4 linked regions of the Saccharomyces cerevisiae S288C genome follow. The protein of the gene in region 3 interacts with the protein of the main gene of each other region in a biochemical or structural test. Each region holds a gene or a part of one and is shown on either strand. Other genes may lie near its edges. The genes, in order: YKU70, NEJ1, YKU80 and SIR4.

Region 1 (4,039 bases), 360 kb from region 3:
ACTCGTAGATAAAATGGCACAACTCCATAACTCATTGGATATGAGGGCTATTTCACTATACTCTGTTGGGTATAAGAATGTTCATCCAGAAAATGCAGGTCTTGATAATGATAGAGGTGAGCCTGAAATTTCAAATTGGGCAAACACTTGGCGTGGTTTATTAGACTATCTATTTTATGTAAAGAAATGGGACCCACAAAGTAATTGTCAGGAAGTGGAAACCCTTGGCGATTTTGAAAAAGAAAATAAAGTTAAATGCAGAGGTTTTTTGAGAATGCCGCCCGGTAATGAAATGACAAAGCATGGACAACCACATGTTGGAGAATATGCAAGTGATCATTTGTCTATGGTGTGTGATTTAGAGTTACAACTATAGATTACTGTCGTGCATAAATATCTTGCTAATAGTTGTACAGTACAACGTTTAGCACGACAAAAGTTCTTAATAATAAATATTACATCAAATACCCTACCCTACCAAATATTGTATGTAACGTTATAGATATGAAGGATTTCAATCGTCTTTATATATTGAATTTCGGCTTTTTATCAAAGGGCTTCTTTTCTTCTTTTATCGAAATGTTATCATCGTTAAATTTTTTGTAGAACATATTCCAGATTTTAACATATTTATTTAGCCTTTGGATGATTGGATCTTCTGACTTCTCAGATTCTAAAATTTTATTTCGTATATAATATAGTTTCCTTAAAGAATCGTCCTCACGCATCATTCTGTCTTTTTTAGTATTAGGTGTCTCATTTTCGTCAAAAGTGGTTTCAATTTGCAACAGGTAATCATGTAAAACTTTGTAATGTTTTTGTAATAGTGGGTTTTTGAAATCGGATGGGTTATATCCATCCCTCAAGTTAAAGTATCCCATTATACTTTGAGTTACTTTTTTCATGTTATCATAATCTAGTTTATGTTCAGAGCCATCATCATAGGATAGTAAACTAGGAAATTTTCGAATTTCGTCTAGGAATGGAACCCTGTAGAGATAAAATCCTTCGTTGTAGTCCTTCACGCTTGAGGGTGATAACGTATATAGTGAAGGATGTGAATTTGATTTAAGCTTCCCCCATAATATTGCAATTTTATCTTTTTTTCTCAAAATTTTTAATAAAGAAGCCAAGGTTCTTATCGAACCTTCATATTTTGCTTCATCTGGTACGATAAACGAACTTTTGTCTATGTTATTGAAATAGTGTATCGATTTGCTCGATGAACGGAACCCAATAATCTTCAAAAACGCATCTTTTTGAGTATAAGCCTCCATTACTATCTGATCTTGACTATCTGATAGATTGATATCGAGGTCACCATAAGGATAAACCTTGACAGTTTTACCAGTAACGTCTTCTCCTGTTATAGGATTTAAAAATTTTCTTTTTGAATATGCTTCTTGTCTGATATCTTCATGCTCATAAACAAGTTTATACCTGACTCCAGCTTTTTCATGGGTATACATAGTGTAACCCTTGACTCCGACTATAAAATTTGTTTTCTCATCCAAGATTAATGGACATTGAAACATTATCCTCTTTACCTCCTTTTTCCTTAGGATTCTGGACTTGATGTATTTAGCATCTATAGGCTTTGTACTTGGACCATCAAATTCAGAATCCAAACCAGTATTCTCATTTGTATGTGAACCCAACTGCAGTATGTCCGAATAAAACTCGTTGTCAAATGGTTTATCGGCATAGCCAATAAAAAAAGTTGCAAAATTCACTTTGTTATCAAATAAATCAATTGTAAGCCTTCTCAATCTTGCCCGTTCATCGATATCTTGCGCCTCTTGTGGTTTATCAATGTCAGTGAATAAGAACACTCTCTTGTTGCTTAATTGCTTTTGACCCGGAATCTCTTCCAAAAAAGTGTCAAGCATGAATGTGAATAATACAGATAAGCGCACTTGCTTTTCACTCCCAGTTTGTTGAAACATAAAATAGTCGTATAGGCTTATTCTCCCCGATGATAAATCTTCTAAAAGATCGTTCAATTTCTTCATAAATGTAGCATTTATATCCCTTAATGGAAAAAGTTCATAGATACCTTCCTTGGCATCCTCTCTGTTACAGTAATAAAAATAGCAACCAATAGCTGTCCCAGGTCTTGTTATGACCAATTGTGACATTAGCTCATCTAGTGATTCCAGAATTTCCAACAATGGTGATTTATACTCTAGATCAGAGGACTCTTTAAACATTGTCTCTGATAGTTCAATGCAAAACAAAATTCCTTCATGGATATCAAACTTCCTATAACCTGTTTCATCCACTTGATCGTTAAGTTCTCCACTATTGCCAAATGCATTAGTGACTGAGCGCATAATATTCCCGTTTTAAAATCAGGCTTAGAGTCACTTAACAAATCATAGCTTTACTGTTGAAAACTAGAACAGTAATACAGAGAATGTCATTTGGTAGCTACCTTAAAGCAATCCCTAATACATGAAATTGAGAATCTTCAAAAATTAAGGTAATCAAAAGTAAAAAAATATCTCCCGGGGGCGAGTCGAACGCCCGATCTCAAGATTTCGTAGTGGTAAATTACAGTCTTGCGCCTTAAACCAACTTGGCTACCGAGAGTCAATTAACTGATAACCATTCAATTATGAGTCCGTCTAATATCATGCTTATTCACAATTTTAATATAAGCAACCTTGCAGAAGTGACCTGTTGTCAAAACGGAATATCAACTTGATTGAGGGGATGATAATTATCCTATATATTCTATAAATATGGATTATACTGAATATTGGGTGAATAATTTGATAATTGTTGGGATTGCATTGTTGATCAAGGCTATATAATATTATGTACACAGAATATATTAGAAGTTCTCCTCGAGGATAGAAATCTCAAAATGGAATCTATATTTCTACATAATAAAATTACGATTATTCCTCATTCCGTTTATATGTTTCATTATCCTATTACATTATCAATCCTTGCACTTCAGCTTCCATTATACTTGATAACTATTTCTCAATCCTTATTTTATGTTTTTCCACCGCATATTATAATATGCCAGTAATATTTATTCTTATTAATGGTCGTTAATTTCACACCAGGCGTGTTTATAACTGAGTAATCACTTTAAATTTGAGCATCCGGTTTTGCACCGTTAATAGTATCATTGTTAATTAGTAGGCAGGTTGTAGTATATTCTAAGAATAAAACAGGTGCCCTTAATCTGTACAAGAGAAGAGTATGAAATATGAATTACATTGGGCATATCGACTATACGCAATATATCAGTAGCTTCGACGATTTAGGTAGGTATAAGGGTTTCCTATACCTGTATACACAAATTTCAAACTTATGGCCGAGCCAGATAGTCCTTTAGCTATGCCTTCCATTACTTCTTGGAAAGCTTGTTGCATTTCCCGTCATATTATGTACGGTTACAACTTTTTTGTTGATTTCCATGCCCGAAGGGAGCTTAGCATAGCCGCTATTACATAATCTTATCATCTTCATCAAAAATGAACTTCTAAAATCATCCCACCACTCTATTGCTCTTCATATATGCGTTGTATGTTTATGTGCTTTGTTCTTATTACTGCTTAACTGTGACTGGGCCCATTATTCATTGTTCATATGCAGGAAAAAAAAAGCATGCTTGAAAATTTTGATCTCTTGATGGATGGTATCGAGGCTATCAAAGAGATATAGATCCAGAGTACAGTTTAGTATATCCGTGATGGATGAAAATATTTATCTTTCGCTATCTCAGATAAATAAAGACATCAGAAAGGAAAACAAGTCCGTAAGGAATCGACTTCAGAGTATTCTTTTAGACAATAAATTTTTGCAAGATCGAGTTATCCCTATATTTCCCCATTATCCACTGATACCCAATGAAAGATGTGGGCTATGGTACTGTAATCCATCAAGTTTCAAACAGACCAGTTACTTTAAGAGCACAGACGGGCATGTCAACCAATGGGACTTTAGCACCCGAAGATTGAACTTTCATTTGTTAGAGACCATTCGAGATAATAAAGGTATTATAATTGTCGATAGTACTAGA
Region 2 (3,540 bases), on a different chromosome or scaffold from region 3:
ATAATGCGAAACCGGTGTATTGCAGGAGTTCAGAAAATCCATTACGGTCACTGAGAACTTCGGTTTTAGGTGATAATGGCTCGAGGTATGTGTTTGGCCCCACTTCCTGGAAAACTTTATCTTTGTTTGAACAAAATAAGTTTCAAACTGAGTTTCAAAATTTATGGAAAGTCTTGAAACCACTTCCTGAATGCACTAAATCGCAATTAAATGAAAATGATGTTGTAGCAGATTTGCCTAGTTTTCCTCAAATGGAAAGCTGTATTAAATCTTTTTTTGCTGGACCGCTGTTCGGCATATTGCATATCTTCAACCAAGACGATATTCTGTCCCTCTTGGACAGACTTTTTATTAGAGATACCACGGACAAGAACCTAGTCATCCTCCTCGATTTGCAAGGTAATGCAAAAGATAAGTATAATCTTGGCATTGTACTTCAAATTCTTTGCTTGGGCTATTATAACCAAGATATCCCTTCTTCCGTGAGTCATTTCCTTCACACTTTAAGTGCAGCGTCCTTGTCATCATCGAGCTCAAATTTCGTGGAAAAACTACAATTTTTCTTATTGTCCTATATTAGTGTAATGATAAATTGCACGGACGGTGTATGGGATGCGACTCAAGGCGTTGACTTAATCAACGAGCTATGCCAGGGGTGCATAAGTTTGGGTTTAAATGATATTGATAAATGGTATTTGAACGAAAGTGAGGAAACCAAACAAAACTTGAGGTGTATTTGGTTTTGGGCTTTATTCCTTGATGTATCCACCTCATATGATATAGGTAATCCTCCGTCTATTTCAGATGATCTTTTGGACTTAAGTATATTTACTGCGCAGAATTTCCAATCACCGAGTATTGACTTTAGGAGAGTTAAGCTAATGCACGATTTTTTAGATGTTTCCCGATTCACTACTCGTGAAATTCACAAGAGAGAGATGAACGAAAAATTGACCACTTTTTCATTGAGATTGATTGAATTTATACAATCTAACTTTTCACCTATCGAACATTATACAAATTCAGTTTACTACTCTGATATTGATCCCTTTGATATATTGATTTTATCAAGATCTCTAAGTATAGTTGCTAGTATATACAATATTGAGATGATCATCGCTCAACAAAGCAGAATCATAGATAAGAACAGAATGGTTCAGTTCTTGTTGATATCCATATCAGTCTGTGTTAATACAATGGTATTTCATTTTAAAGAGCCTATCAACGACCAGGAGAACGTGTTAACTGAAGGGCTAAAACTGTCTATTATTCTAATCAATCCACTTTTAATACGAATAGTATCGCAAGTGTACAGTTTAGCATTTAATAGGTTAATCTTCAGGGAGAAGGCATTCCTTTTCCTTATTGACCTTGACACTGGGAAAAAAATACAATTCATTAAATATGAAGAAGAAAACTTTGATGAACTTTTGACAGGATTCGATGTTAGGACTGATAAATTTCTGTCATTTTCAGGAACAATAATAAGATTTTACGAAATTATTGATAGCATATTTGCTGTTAATGAAAGAAATAAGCGATTGTTAAAAGCAGTTTCCAATTTTTATCAGTTAACTTCAACTTTGGCGTTTGAACGCGTAAGTAGGGTTTTATTCGATAAAGCGTCCCAAGCAAGAATAGAGACTGAAAAAATTTGGCTGAAAAAGGGCATTAATATGGAGCACTTCAGTGATCTCATGATTGAAGATTTTATTAATGATGTTTGGAAAACGTTCAAAGAGATTTCCAAAGACCTTTGGTCCATTGACAAAAAGAAATTTTATAAACAATATCATTTCGATTTATAAATGTATTTATGATTGATGTATTTTTTTACATGGATTTTTTCGTCCCAAAAAGGGATGATAGTGTTGGCAGCGGGCAAACACAAAATAGTGTCATATAAGTGGAAACCCTATGGAGAATAACCATAACAACGGCCAGATAGGAGGTTAATCTTACACATGTGTGATGGATTCTGAGTTGAAAGGGCAGCAGCTAAGTGATGCAGAATGGTGTGTTAAAAAAATTAATGGTGAGGGAAATTGTCTCCTATTATTTCTACCGATGTCATCTCCAACCACAATTGTAATGATTGTTTTAGTTTCCTTGGAGCGCTTAGTTCCCTACGTTTTCAAACTTTCACAAACTCAATTATCACAGCAATGCCAGAGCCAAGGTTTTACGGATAGTATATCATTAAATCTAATTAAACTAAAACTAATGGACATTCTACAAGCTCCTCAAGAAATTAACCAAATTGGATTGGTAGATTCAAATTTGGTTTTTAGTTTCGATGTATCTGCGGATATTACAGTTTCCATAAATAGCGTACCTTCACATGTTACTAAGGATATGTTCTATATGATTTTGCAAAGTTTATGCATGCTTTTATTAAAATTGGTAAACCTTTCCACCCAATACCACTATGTACAACGGGATATTTTGAATGAAAAGCAAAAATGCTTAGATTTTCTTTTAATTTCTCTTCGTGATTTAGACGGTGGGAGTAAAGTTATCAGTCAATGGGCTCCTGAAAATTCTAAGAATTATGAATCTCTGCAGCAATGCACAGACGATGACATAATCAAAAAATTACTACATAAAGGAAAATTCCAGCATCAAGAATTTCTGGCGGACTCATTAAAAACATTATTATCTTTAAGAAACAAATTTCAAGATGTGTCGCGGTTTGAAGAATCTGGAGAACTTAACAAAAAAGAGCGCGTCAGATTTCCTGCGGTGAATCATTTTTATAATGATGATTTTGAATTGCAAGCAGACCCTACAAATGAGGCTCGACCAAATAGCCGCGGTAAAATTAAACCAAAGACAGATTTCAAGCCAAAATCTAGAGAAAGTAGTACCAGTTCGCAACTTCGCCTGGAGAATTTTTCTGAATCTGAGGCTACACCAGAAAAAACAAAATCAAGTTCTTCTTTGGTCGAAGAATACCCACAGAAAAAAAGAAAATTTGGAAAGGTGAGAATAAAAAACTAAGGCAAGTCAATTAAACGTCAAAAATTAAGGTTGGACCTTTCAAATAGTTCTATTCCTTTGTTGACGCATTGATAATGTTAATTTATTGAATGGTAACGTTATGCCATTGATAGGGAGCATATAAGTTTATATGTATTAGGACAGTTCTAATTGTTTATTATTAATCTAACGGTAGTTTCAAGCAGTATCTTACATCACTGCAGCTTCTGAGTGTCTAAATGATAAACTGCATAAAAAATAGCCGCGCAAGCTCGCCATCACTGTAAATGAAATTTAGACGCAAAACATAACCGCGGATGTAAACTTACTTAATAAGAGCGATTGGCAAAAGAGCCACAAAAAAAAATTGGATCAATATCTGGTGCATGGGTCTAAAAAAATTAAGCAAAACCACAACACCACGCGTTATGACAGCAGTTTTAGAGACTGTTTCTTTCTCTTCTATTGTATGAAGTAATCAGATTATTATATTGAGTAAGTACATGAATGTAATATTTAAATTGTATTTAACGATAGATGCACCAAAAAAAAAGAAAGTTA
Region 3 (4,416 bases):
GCGCAAACGACGAGTTTGAACGTAAACAAATATGAAACTAATACTGAAAAGGGAAGCATTGGTGATTTTTTTTTCTTGTTCGTACTTCCTTCTGAGCAGAAAGTAAAAAGCCCAGAATGCGACAAAGACATACTCCGGCTGACAATAACGCAAGTGCTGTCACATAAGACTCCTTATATATGACAGTTTGCTGTATTTGTACAGTTGGACCGTCTTCATTACAACAATATTTATTGAACAGTAGCTTGTAATAGGCCGGCATTTTTTTGGTTAATAACAATGCCAGATAACCGCGAAGATTTATAATGGTTTATCGGTTGCATTTTCCATGAGTATAGAAACTATTATAGCGACCTCATTCTCCGGTCATTTAAATTTCCAAGGATCTTAGAGTCCACAAAGGACACAAATAATTTTACATAATAACGATATTACCTCTTTTTCCATTTTATGCGTTGTCGTTCACTATCCTGTTACATTATCAATCTTCGCATTTTAGCTTTTACCACATCCGATAGCCGTTTCTCAATATTATGCCATCTTCCTACACCATATAAGATAATATACCAGTAATATTGATACCAGTGAATGGATGATAGTTGATTGTTATTCCAACAAATAAAATCACAATCATTATCACCATTGCAATGAAACTCCATTTATCATCTATTTAGTAGTATTCATGTTTCTAGTATATAATCATATGCGGTGTAAGAAAATGACATAAAGTTTGAGAAACAGTCATCAAATCTAATGAAAGCTGAAATGCGAAGATTGATAACGTAATAGGATAATAAACGACAACGTATAAAACGAAAGAAGATAAAGTAATTTTTATTATATAGATTTATCGACTCCCTTTTGTGGATTCCAAGATCCTCGAGGAGAACTTCTAGTATATACTGTATACCTACATTATAGCTTTTGTTGACAATGGAGTCCCAACAATTATTACAATATTCACTTATTTCTCACATCATTATGAAGTGACTCCCCTCGGTTAAACGTTAGCGTGTTCTTCATTGCCTGTGGATGAGGATGAGCGCCGGTGCAAACTTTCAAGTTTTTCGAGAGCGTCTTCAAACTTAGCTACCACATTGTTGTCTACATCAACAAAAGTATGGTTCCATACTAAACTACCATCTTCTTTATTGCCGCTTAATTGTAACACGTCTACATTACCAGAATGATGAACTCCGCCTGTCAGATAGTCGTGCTTTGGTGCGGTCTTGATAAAATTGTTGATTGCTTCCATCGATATCATGATTCAGCCTAGGATTTGTGGGTTGCTTTGATTGATTGGAAATGATCGACTATGAGACCTTGAACCAGTTTAATTTTAAAATAAATATTTTTGTTGAACTAGTTCAGCAACCGAAATCCAGAAAAAAAGTTCTAGAAGAATAGTTTTATTAACTTTGAGAAAGTAAAAGCTGAGATAAAAAACCAGCTCAACATATAAGAATACAAGCTGACGGTAAATAACAATAAGTAGCCTTGTTGGCGCAATCGGTAGCGCGTATGACTCTTAATCATAAGGTTAGGGGTTCGAGCCCCCTACAGGGCTTCTTTTTTTGAAGATTCAAGTAAATATGCTGCATACATAATTCTCATTCAAAATATATACACTTAAGACATCTGGCCTTTTCTAGTTAATCTATATATTTAGTTCTTATAATAGATGAATGTACCGTCAACCAAAGATTAGCAGTTGGAGGGCGTTAAAAACAATTTACCATTGCCAGGATTCGACAACACTATTGTAACGTATTTCTGTTTCTGGTCTTGGAGTAATGTTTGTAGTCTATTAGCGGAAGTACCTTTTTACAGTGTCGACACAATTTGACTATTTTTTCAACTAGATTACCGCATGTCCGTCAGGGCATTTGTTGTCATGCAAAAAAATGAATAAAAAAAAAGGGCATCATCAAGAGAAGAAAACCTAATTAACGAGAGTGCAGGACATATGCACAAATAATATATCTCACACCATAATAATGTCAAGTGAGTCAACAACTTTCATCGTGGATGTTTCACCATCAATGATGAAAAATAATAATGTTTCCAAATCTATGGCATATCTAGAGTACACTCTATTAAACAAATCTAAAAAAAGTAGAAAAACAGATTGGATAAGCTGTTATCTCGCTAATTGTCCCGTATCTGAGAATTCCCAGGAAATACCAAATGTGTTCCAAATACAATCCTTTTTGGCTCCTGTTACCACGACGGCCACCATTGGGTTTATAAAACGCCTGAAACAATATTGTGATCAGCACAGTCATGATAGTTCGAATGAAGGCTTACAATCAATGATTCAATGTCTGTTGGTCGTCTCATTAGATATTAAACAACAATTTCAAGCAAGAAAAATTCTAAAACAAATTGTTGTATTTACAGACAATTTAGATGATCTGGATATTACTGATGAAGAAATAGACCTGCTAACGGAAGAATTAAGCACAAGAATCATTTTGATTGATTGCGGTAAAGACACTCAAGAGGAGAGGAAAAAATCGAACTGGTTAAAGTTGGTCGAAGCGATACCGAATTCAAGAATCTACAATATGAATGAACTTCTTGTTGAAATCACTTCCCCAGCAACATCTGTCGTTAAGCCAGTAAGAGTATTCTCAGGCGAGCTTAGGTTAGGGGCAGATATATTATCAACACAAACATCGAATCCTAGCGGCAGCATGCAAGATGAAAATTGCTTATGTATCAAGGTAGAGGCTTTTCCTGCTACGAAAGCAGTTTCAGGCTTAAATAGGAAAACCGCTGTTGAGGTGGAAGACTCCCAGAAGAAAGAAAGGTATGTGGGGGTCAAATCCATAATCGAATATGAAATTCACAACGAAGGAAATAAGAAAAATGTCAGTGAAGATGACCAGTCTGGATCGTCATACATTCCCGTGACCATCTCCAAAGACTCTGTAACGAAGGCATACCGTTATGGTGCAGACTACGTAGTGCTACCGTCCGTTCTAGTCGATCAAACTGTATATGAATCTTTTCCAGGCTTGGATTTAAGAGGATTTTTGAATAGAGAAGCTCTTCCAAGGTACTTTTTGACGTCGGAATCCTCCTTCATTACCGCCGACACAAGACTTGGCTGTCAATCTGACTTAATGGCTTTCAGTGCTCTAGTGGATGTTATGCTAGAAAATAGAAAAATTGCTGTTGCAAGATATGTGAGCAAGAAAGACAGTGAAGTGAATATGTGTGCATTGTGTCCCGTTCTAATTGAGCACAGTAACATTAATTCCGAGAAGAAGTTTGTTAAGAGCCTTACCTTGTGTAGATTACCATTCGCGGAAGACGAGAGGGTAACTGATTTTCCAAAACTTCTGGATCGAACAACTACATCCGGGGTACCGCTGAAAAAGGAAACAGACGGGCATCAAATCGATGAGCTTATGGAACAATTTGTAGATTCAATGGATACAGATGAGCTACCAGAGATTCCGTTAGGCAACTACTATCAACCCATAGGCGAAGTAACAACAGACACCACTCTCCCACTTCCCTCTTTAAATAAAGACCAAGAGGAAAACAAAAAGGATCCTCTTAGAATACCCACGGTTTTTGTCTACAGGCAACAACAGGTGCTACTGGAATGGATTCACCAACTGATGATCAATGATTCCAGGGAATTTGAAATCCCAGAGCTTCCTGACTCATTGAAAAACAAAATAAGTCCTTACACGCACAAGAAATTTGATAGCACAAAATTGGTTGAAGTGCTCGGCATCAAGAAAGTAGACAAATTAAAACTCGACTCCGAACTAAAAACTGAGCTTGAGAGGGAAAAGATCCCGGACCTAGAAACGCTATTGAAGCGCGGTGAACAACACAGTAGGGGAAGTCCAAACAATAGCAATAATTAAAAAAGGTCTAACATCCTTTGAGTTATGTTTTCGTCACCACAGTTAAAGAGAAAAAAAAATAAATAGCGGGTAAATAATTGTCATACTACTGATTTGCATTGTTACCTTGTAACTTTGAACACTAGCCATGCAGGTTGCTTTTCCTCCTTTACACCTTCCCCCCTGTCGCTGTTCAAAAGTAAATGCAACAACAATAAAACGTGGGTAGAGGACGTTCCCTGTATGTACTAAAATCATACTATCATCCGTTGAGGTCGAGCGGTTCTCTAATCTCAACACACGCTGCTGCCCCTGAGCTTGCGAGCTAAGGACAACAGGGCCAACTTGTTCTTTCTAGGGGGGAGAGGCCCAACTTAGGCTCGGTGAAGAGAAGCGCGGAGCTCACGAAAAGGGGTGGTGTCGCGCACTACTTTTTTCGTGGGGAACTTACGTGAAAGGGGACGTTATACTTTTGTTATGTGCAGTTCCAGGAACAAACAGGGGTTGAAAAGTGTAAAAGAAATAGTTGATTCTTTCAGAATCTGGATGA
Region 4 (6,248 bases), on a different chromosome or scaffold from region 3:
AGTAACGAGTTGGAAATACGGGGAAAATATGTTGTTGTACCAGAAACTTCACAAGATATGGCCTTCAAATGTCCAATTTGTAAGGAAACCGTTACTGGCGTTTATGATGAAGAATCTGGTGAATGGGTTTGGAAAAATACTATTGAAGTGAATGGCAAATATTTCCACTCGACATGTTATCATGAAACGTCGCAAAATTCAAGCAAATCTAATAGTGGCAAGGTCGGTTTGGATGACTTAAAGAAATTGGTCACAAAATAAGAGCAGAACTGCATATATACATTTAAATTTAATAACTATATATTATATTAAATTCTTTGTTCTTGGTATTTGATGGGTTGCTCATTTGTTTATTTTTTTTTTTTTTTTTTTTGCTTATGTGTCCATTATATTATATGTAATTTTACATATGTAGCCAAAAGCCCAACTAATCATTAAAATCGATTAAAGACCGTAAAGTAAATTGTTCATTATAGAAGAAAACGACAAAGAAAAACAGGGTACACTTCGTTACTGGTCTTTTGTAGAATGATAAAAAGTCAATACGGTTTTATCTCCTTATTCACTTGAAAATCTTTTTCCATCAATTTGTTAATTTTAGCATCTTTTTCAGATATTTGACTTCTCGCATTTTCAAGACATTTCTTTGTAAAAGTTAAATCACCTTGAAGTGAAGTTATTCTAATTTCATTCCTCATAACTTCATCTGACAAAGACCGAATAATTTCATTTGCAACAGCCAATTGTTTTTCCTTTTCATCCAGCGCCGATGCTGCTTTCGACAAAACGATATCCACAAAGGAAAGACCATCTTCTTTCATGTCCTTCGAACATTCGGTGACACTATCCTTATTATCAATTTCAAGTTCTGTTTTTTGGGTTGATGTGTACATATTTGATTGTTGAGTACCAGTTTGTGAATGTGTTCCTAAAACGTCAACACTAGTTAAAATTTCTGTTGTATTACTGTCTGTTATATCGTCGAGTTGTTTCACTCGACGATCTTCAACGATTGGAACCCTTTTTCCAACAGAAAAATAGCCGTAGGACGCAGGTCTTGAGAAAGAGAGTGAGATGTTTTCTGATGCGTGCTTCCCATTTCCAGGGATTATTTTTGCTTTGTTAGAATTAAAAATACTGTCGAATTGCTTCTTTTCTGGTAGGGTTTTCGTTTCCATTGTGCTCAGCTGCACCAAAGACTTCACATCTGGCGGAGAAGAAGGCTTCACATTTTTAACCATTAACGGTTTTTTTGTAATTTGCAGTATATCCTTAGGCATAATTTTGGCATCTGCCATATGCTCGGGCTCGACCACATGTGGTTTGACCGACGTGGATATAGAAACAGGTTCACAGGACTTCTGAATATCAAATCCCATGTTGGAAACAAATCTCTGAGTCTTCATAAATGACCAAAATCTGGCTTTTTTTGCATCAGGCTTGTTCTGTAATTCGTTGTAGTAAATCTTAATTTCAGAACTCATTGGGTAATCTTCTATTTCACCTTTCAGTATAATGATGTCACTCTCTCTAAAATTATTGGAAATTGCTGATTTAAGGTTGTTAGCAAATATATCTTTAAGTAACTGCATTTTTTCGTTAATTATTTGTCTATCACTGTCGGAAAGCTCCGAAGGGAACTCATCAACCAACGAAACGGAAATAAGTTTCAAATTTGCAAGCCATTCTTGCCTCCAAGAGCTTTTTGAAAGGTTCTCCTTCGTGTTTTTGGGTTTGCTAGAATTAGTATCACTATGCGACACTCTTCTATTGCTTTTAGTAGGCGTGGTACTTAGCTTTGTTTCTTCGAATCCTAATGGAGAAGACACGGTTGGAATTTGGGATGGTTTAGCGGAAGAAGAATTTTGTTCTTGGCTATGTTTCCCTATATTGATATTTTTATTGGTCACATCATTTTTTTCAGTGTTATTTGTGTTTTCAAATGTAGAAACTGCATATAATGGCAAATATTGTAATCTGTCCTTCTTGTGCACTTGTTGGTAAAAGAAAGCACTTGATGTTTCATAGTTTTCAACAGAGCAAATGTCGTTAGTCACACTAGTTAATGGATTGCCACTTAAATAACTATGTTTTGGGATCCCTTGTTCAATAAGGTCAGTTATTGTTTCTTTATCGTATGTCGTTTTATCAGCTATCCTCCAAAGAATGTTTTTCGTCAATTCACGATCAGATTTTCGCCAATCCAATACAGGATCAAACCATTTGCCTGCCTGAATTTGGTCCTTTTCAGCACTTGTATCTAAATCATTAGTTACTTTGATTTCATTTGATTCACCAGAGCTTAAACTTTCCAAGTCAGTTAGGCTATCATTATCTGAAGAAGAATCGTCTGAGTCGGACACGTATACCAGCTCCATTTTTCCCGGGTGAGTTATTATCGTATTCATTCTCCCACGGCAGATCTTCTTTTTTTCAATTTGCTCATCCTCTGTATGATTTGCGAAAGATTTCTTTGAAGGTTGAGATAGAGAAACTGGAAAATTATCGCTATACTCATGCTTACTTGCACTAACTGGCTGAGATAGAGACACCTTATCAGTCTTATTTTCTGGCTTTTCAGTGGAAGCGATAGTTTCCAAAAAATTGGCTTTTTCTTTTGACAGAGCATCACTAGAAAAAGGTTTGCTTTCACTTTTAATGAAAGGAGCCTTGAGTACGTTTGAAAACAAATTTAATAAAGATTTGCTTTCAACAGCCTTGGAAACCGGTTCATCCTTTGATTTAACATTCTCCCGGTCAATCTCTGAGGATATTTTTGGAGCAGATTCAACCTGAAAAAGGTCATTAGTTCCAATTTTTATATCTTTTTTTTGTGTAACTTTATGTGTGGAAGGAAGAGCAGTGTTTTGTGATTTATTTAAAGGGTTTTGAATAGTTTTCTTAGCCTCATTTGATGATTCTTTCGTATGCAAAATATCTCGCACAATTTCCTTAGGCTCTAATTTCTTTTGGATGTTTATTGTACCGTTTGAGATATTTGGAGTTCGCCCTTCATTAGGCTTATGCTTTTTCATAGGATTCGGTATTTCTCCTAGCTGGGGCCTCTTTGATGGTGTAACATTCAGGGTATTGTTTCTCGAATCAATGTGGGATTCTCCTTGTACTTTTTGAAGCACTTTTCGACCATCTATTCGTACACTCTGTATCTGCTTTGTGGTTTCTTCGGTTACTTTGTTTACGTGAGCTTCAGTGCTCATGATTTCAGGCGGCCTCTTACCAATTTTCTTGTTTTCACCATTTTTATTCTTTGCAGAAGTGTTCATATCATTTTTCTTTTCTGTGCTTCGAGAAGTAGAGTTATAGTTGTTTTCTTGGCCTTCATATTCAACAAGAAAAGCAAGTTTTGTAGTTTCTTCATCTCTAGTGGAAAAATTTCGGCTGTTTCTACGCCCTTGAGGTCTGTCAGCTGGACTTTTCGACAAATGAGGTGACTTTAAGATTTCCATCCTCTTGAGGTCGGCGTCTTCCTTCATTTTTTGTTCAGATGTTATAGGCTGATGCTTCGAAGGTGCAAGTGTTTTCTCATCGTGCAGTGTTATTTTATCTTGATCAATGGCGACTTTTTTTGGAGATGGAACGATCTTCTTTGATGTTAGAGTTTCTGTCGTGGCTGACGTCCCATTGGTATCTAAGGCCGATGCGACCGTACTATTTGCACTATTCTCATCTAATTTTACTGGTTTTTCTTGATTTATTTCTAAACGCTCGTTAGTAGATTCCTCATTTATTCCATACACTTCTGTTTGTATGGCATTCGGTTTTGCAATTCCAGGACTTCTTGCCTTGCTCTCCTCCGGTGATATACCACTGTCACCGGCACTAACCTTCGGAACTGATAGTGAATCAGAATGGGCAAAGTTTTTACCTATATTCAACTTTTCTTCTTTTTTTTCTTCTACGGTATCTTTCCTGATAGATTTGTCCTTGGTCAAAGAAATCACAGAGGCGCCGATGTCTGCTGATCCTTTTTTAAGTGGCTTCTCTAAAACAGGCTGTTCGTTTGCCAAGTTTATGCCTAGAATCTCTTTAGAGTAATCCCTTATTTTCTCTTCACTTAGTAAGCTTTTTACTCCTGATAAAAATGAGTTATTGGTTTGTGATGTTGATATCGGTACTATGGTACGTACAGGCTTTGAATTGAAGGTAGAAGTTTGTTGCTGCGCATGCCGGGAAAATGCTGTTTGTTCAAAACTTGCTAGAGACCTGCTAGCATCATGTGAAGGATTGTTTGATTCAATTCTTCCTGCTGACGTTTTGGACCGAAGAAGGGAGAGTAGTTTGCTGTTGCTTATTTTTTCCAGATTTGAGTGAGGAAAAGAATTATAGTTATTTTTTTTCAGTGGTGAGGATTTTGGCTGTTGCAACTGTTTATGGGAAGTCGGTTTTACATCACTTGGTTGATGAGGTGAGGTATGAATTGCGGTTGACGGCCTTGAATAGTTTTTGCTTTTGGCAAACGTGAATAATGGAATTTTAGGTGTCTTCACTTCATTGGATTTTTCTTCTCTTTCAGGAATTTTATCATTCGGGGTTACTGGTTTTTTAGTAAACTTGGGAGTGCTGGACCTATTGGGTGTCTTATTGTCATTTGGCATTGGCTGTTTTCTTCGCTTTTTTGGTATTGTGGGTTGAAGCTTCCTTTTTTTTTTTATCCCCTGCAAAACGATGTCCAGTTAGAACTCTGACTGAATTATAAAACCTGAAAAGCGCTTATTTCGTTATAGGTTTATAAAAAGCTTCACTATTACTGTTATACCGTTTTTGTTTATGTGATGCGCTTTTGTTCATCTATTTAGTAATATGATTTGCGTTCGTTCTCAACGATAAAAATATTGACTAAGTACTTAATGGCAGTGCACATGTTTAAGGACGTTATAGCCAGTTACAAACACTTATGTTATTATTTCATTTATAGTATACTGCGGATATATGTACTCACATACAAAAATTTATTATATTTTCATTAATTTAAAAAAAAGAAAAGATATTTAGAAGACATTGCGCAAGGTCATTAATCCTTACCTAGCTTGTTCAAGATGTCAGCCCAAACAGTAGCAGGAGGTTGGGAAGCATCAACACCAGCCCAGATACCGGTCTTTTTGTAAAAGTCAACAATTGGTTCGGTTTGAGCATGGTAAGCAGCTAATCTCTTCTTCAAGGCGTCTGCATTGTCATCAGATCTTTGAACTAAAGCTTCACCGGTGACGTCATCCTTCATGTCTTCCTTTGGTGGGTTAAAGATCTTGTGGTAGGATCTGCCAGAGGCTGGGTGAATTAATCTACCGGTAATTCTGGCAACCAACAATTCATCATCAACCTTCAATTCGATGGCTTTTTCCAAAGGAGTTCCTTGTTCTTTCAACATTTGGTCCAATTTTTCAGCCTGAGGAATGGTTCTTGGGAAACCGTCCAAGATGAACCCATTCTTACAAGCTGGATTGTTGGTCAATTCATCCTTGATCATGTTAACCATAATGTCATCAGAGACTAAACCACCTTGGTCCATAATTTTCTTTGCTTCCAAACCTAATTGAGTGCCCTTTGCGATTTGAGATCTCAACATGTCACCAGTGGCCAAGTGAGCGGCATGGAAACGCTCTTGCAAATTTGGAGCTTGAGTACCTTTACCGGCACCAGGTGGGCCAATTAGGACCATTCTAATGGATTCTGAGCTAGACATTACTGTTATATTTGATGCTGTGTGGTGACTTTACCAGAGAAACGTTAATGTTTCTTTATTAAAGCTCTCGTTTCTGATAAACCAGGTAATCCATTTCAGAAATTTATGCGTATATATATATACAAATATGCGTAATAAAACTAGCCAGAGTGAAAAAGTCGAAAATCAAAAAAAAATGGGCGAATAAGGACAGAAGCCGCGGGCTGCTGCGGACAGTTCTCCGTGACAGGATCGCGCAATCGTGAGCTTTTTTCCTTTGGTTGTGAAAATTTCGTCACACTATCAAAGTGAACAAAGCACAGAATGTGTTTGCTACTCAATCATGTTCAAGTAAGCAACAGTGCCCAATGAACCTAAACAGAGCAACAGAGAAAACAGGAAGACACAACAAAAAATTTATATCATGCATGACATATGTTACCGTTAATTATATACCCAATAAATTATATATAGAAAAATAAAAAGGAAAAACAGAAAGGTCTAATAGACACTTAATATAGTTACAATGGAGAAGCAGTTTAGTTCCTTCCGCCTTCTTTAAAATACC

Evidence for each region.
Region 1: the proteins of YKU80 (region 3) and YKU70 are reported together in a solved structure, tested with the Saccharomyces cerevisiae proteins (4 studies listed by BioGRID, with this or other methods).
Region 2: the proteins of YKU80 (region 3) and NEJ1 form a complex in vitro, tested with the Saccharomyces cerevisiae proteins (one study listed by BioGRID).
Region 4: the proteins of YKU80 (region 3) and SIR4 form a complex in vitro, tested with the Saccharomyces cerevisiae proteins (2 studies listed by BioGRID, with this or other methods).

The regions. Positions count from the first base shown.
Region 1 is NC_001145.3:836,481-840,519, reverse strand, and holds YKU70 (ATP-dependent DNA helicase YKU70), read right to left. Parts: upstream 2,334-4,039; coding exon 525-2,333; downstream 1-524. Other genes in the region: NGL2 (RNA exonuclease), read left to right, coding at 1-376; RIT1 (tRNA A64-2'-O-ribosylphosphate transferase), read left to right, coding at 3,653-4,039. UniProt on the Saccharomyces cerevisiae protein: Single-stranded DNA-dependent ATP-dependent helicase. Involved in non-homologous end joining (NHEJ) DNA double strand break repair. DNA-binding is sequence-independent but has a high affinity to nicks in double-stranded DNA and to the ends of duplex DNA.
Region 2 is NC_001144.5:673,887-677,426, reverse strand, and holds NEJ1 (Nej1p), read left to right. Parts: upstream 1-1,971; coding exon 1,972-3,000; downstream 3,001-3,540. Other genes in the region: PDR8 (Pdr8p), read left to right, coding at 1-1,808; YLR264C-A (uncharacterized protein), read left to right, coding at 3,483-3,540. UniProt on the Saccharomyces cerevisiae protein: Involved in non-homologous end joining (NHEJ). Facilitates the transport of LIF1 into the nucleus, where it can interact with DNA ligase DNL4 to repair double-strand breaks (DSB). Mediates mating-type regulation of NHEJ.
Region 3 is NC_001145.3:477,772-482,187, reverse strand, and holds YKU80 (ATP-dependent DNA helicase YKU80), read left to right. Parts: upstream 1-1,997; coding exon 1,998-3,887; downstream 3,888-4,416. Other genes in the region: YMR106W-A (uncharacterized protein), read right to left, coding at 1,001-1,264; YMR105W-A (uncharacterized protein), read right to left, coding at 3,930-4,124. UniProt on the Saccharomyces cerevisiae protein: Single-stranded DNA-dependent ATP-dependent helicase. Involved in non-homologous end joining (NHEJ) DNA double strand break repair. DNA-binding is sequence-independent but has a high affinity to nicks in double-stranded DNA and to the ends of duplex DNA.
Region 4 is NC_001136.10:915,939-922,186, reverse strand, and holds SIR4 (chromatin-silencing protein SIR4), read right to left. Parts: upstream 4,617-6,248; coding exon 540-4,616; downstream 1-539. Other genes in the region: PCF11 (Pcf11p), read left to right, coding at 1-261; adenylate kinase ADK1, read right to left, coding at 5,033-5,701. UniProt on the Saccharomyces cerevisiae protein: The proteins SIR1 through SIR4 are required for transcriptional repression of the silent mating type loci, HML and HMR. The proteins SIR2 through SIR4 repress mulitple loci by modulating chromatin structure.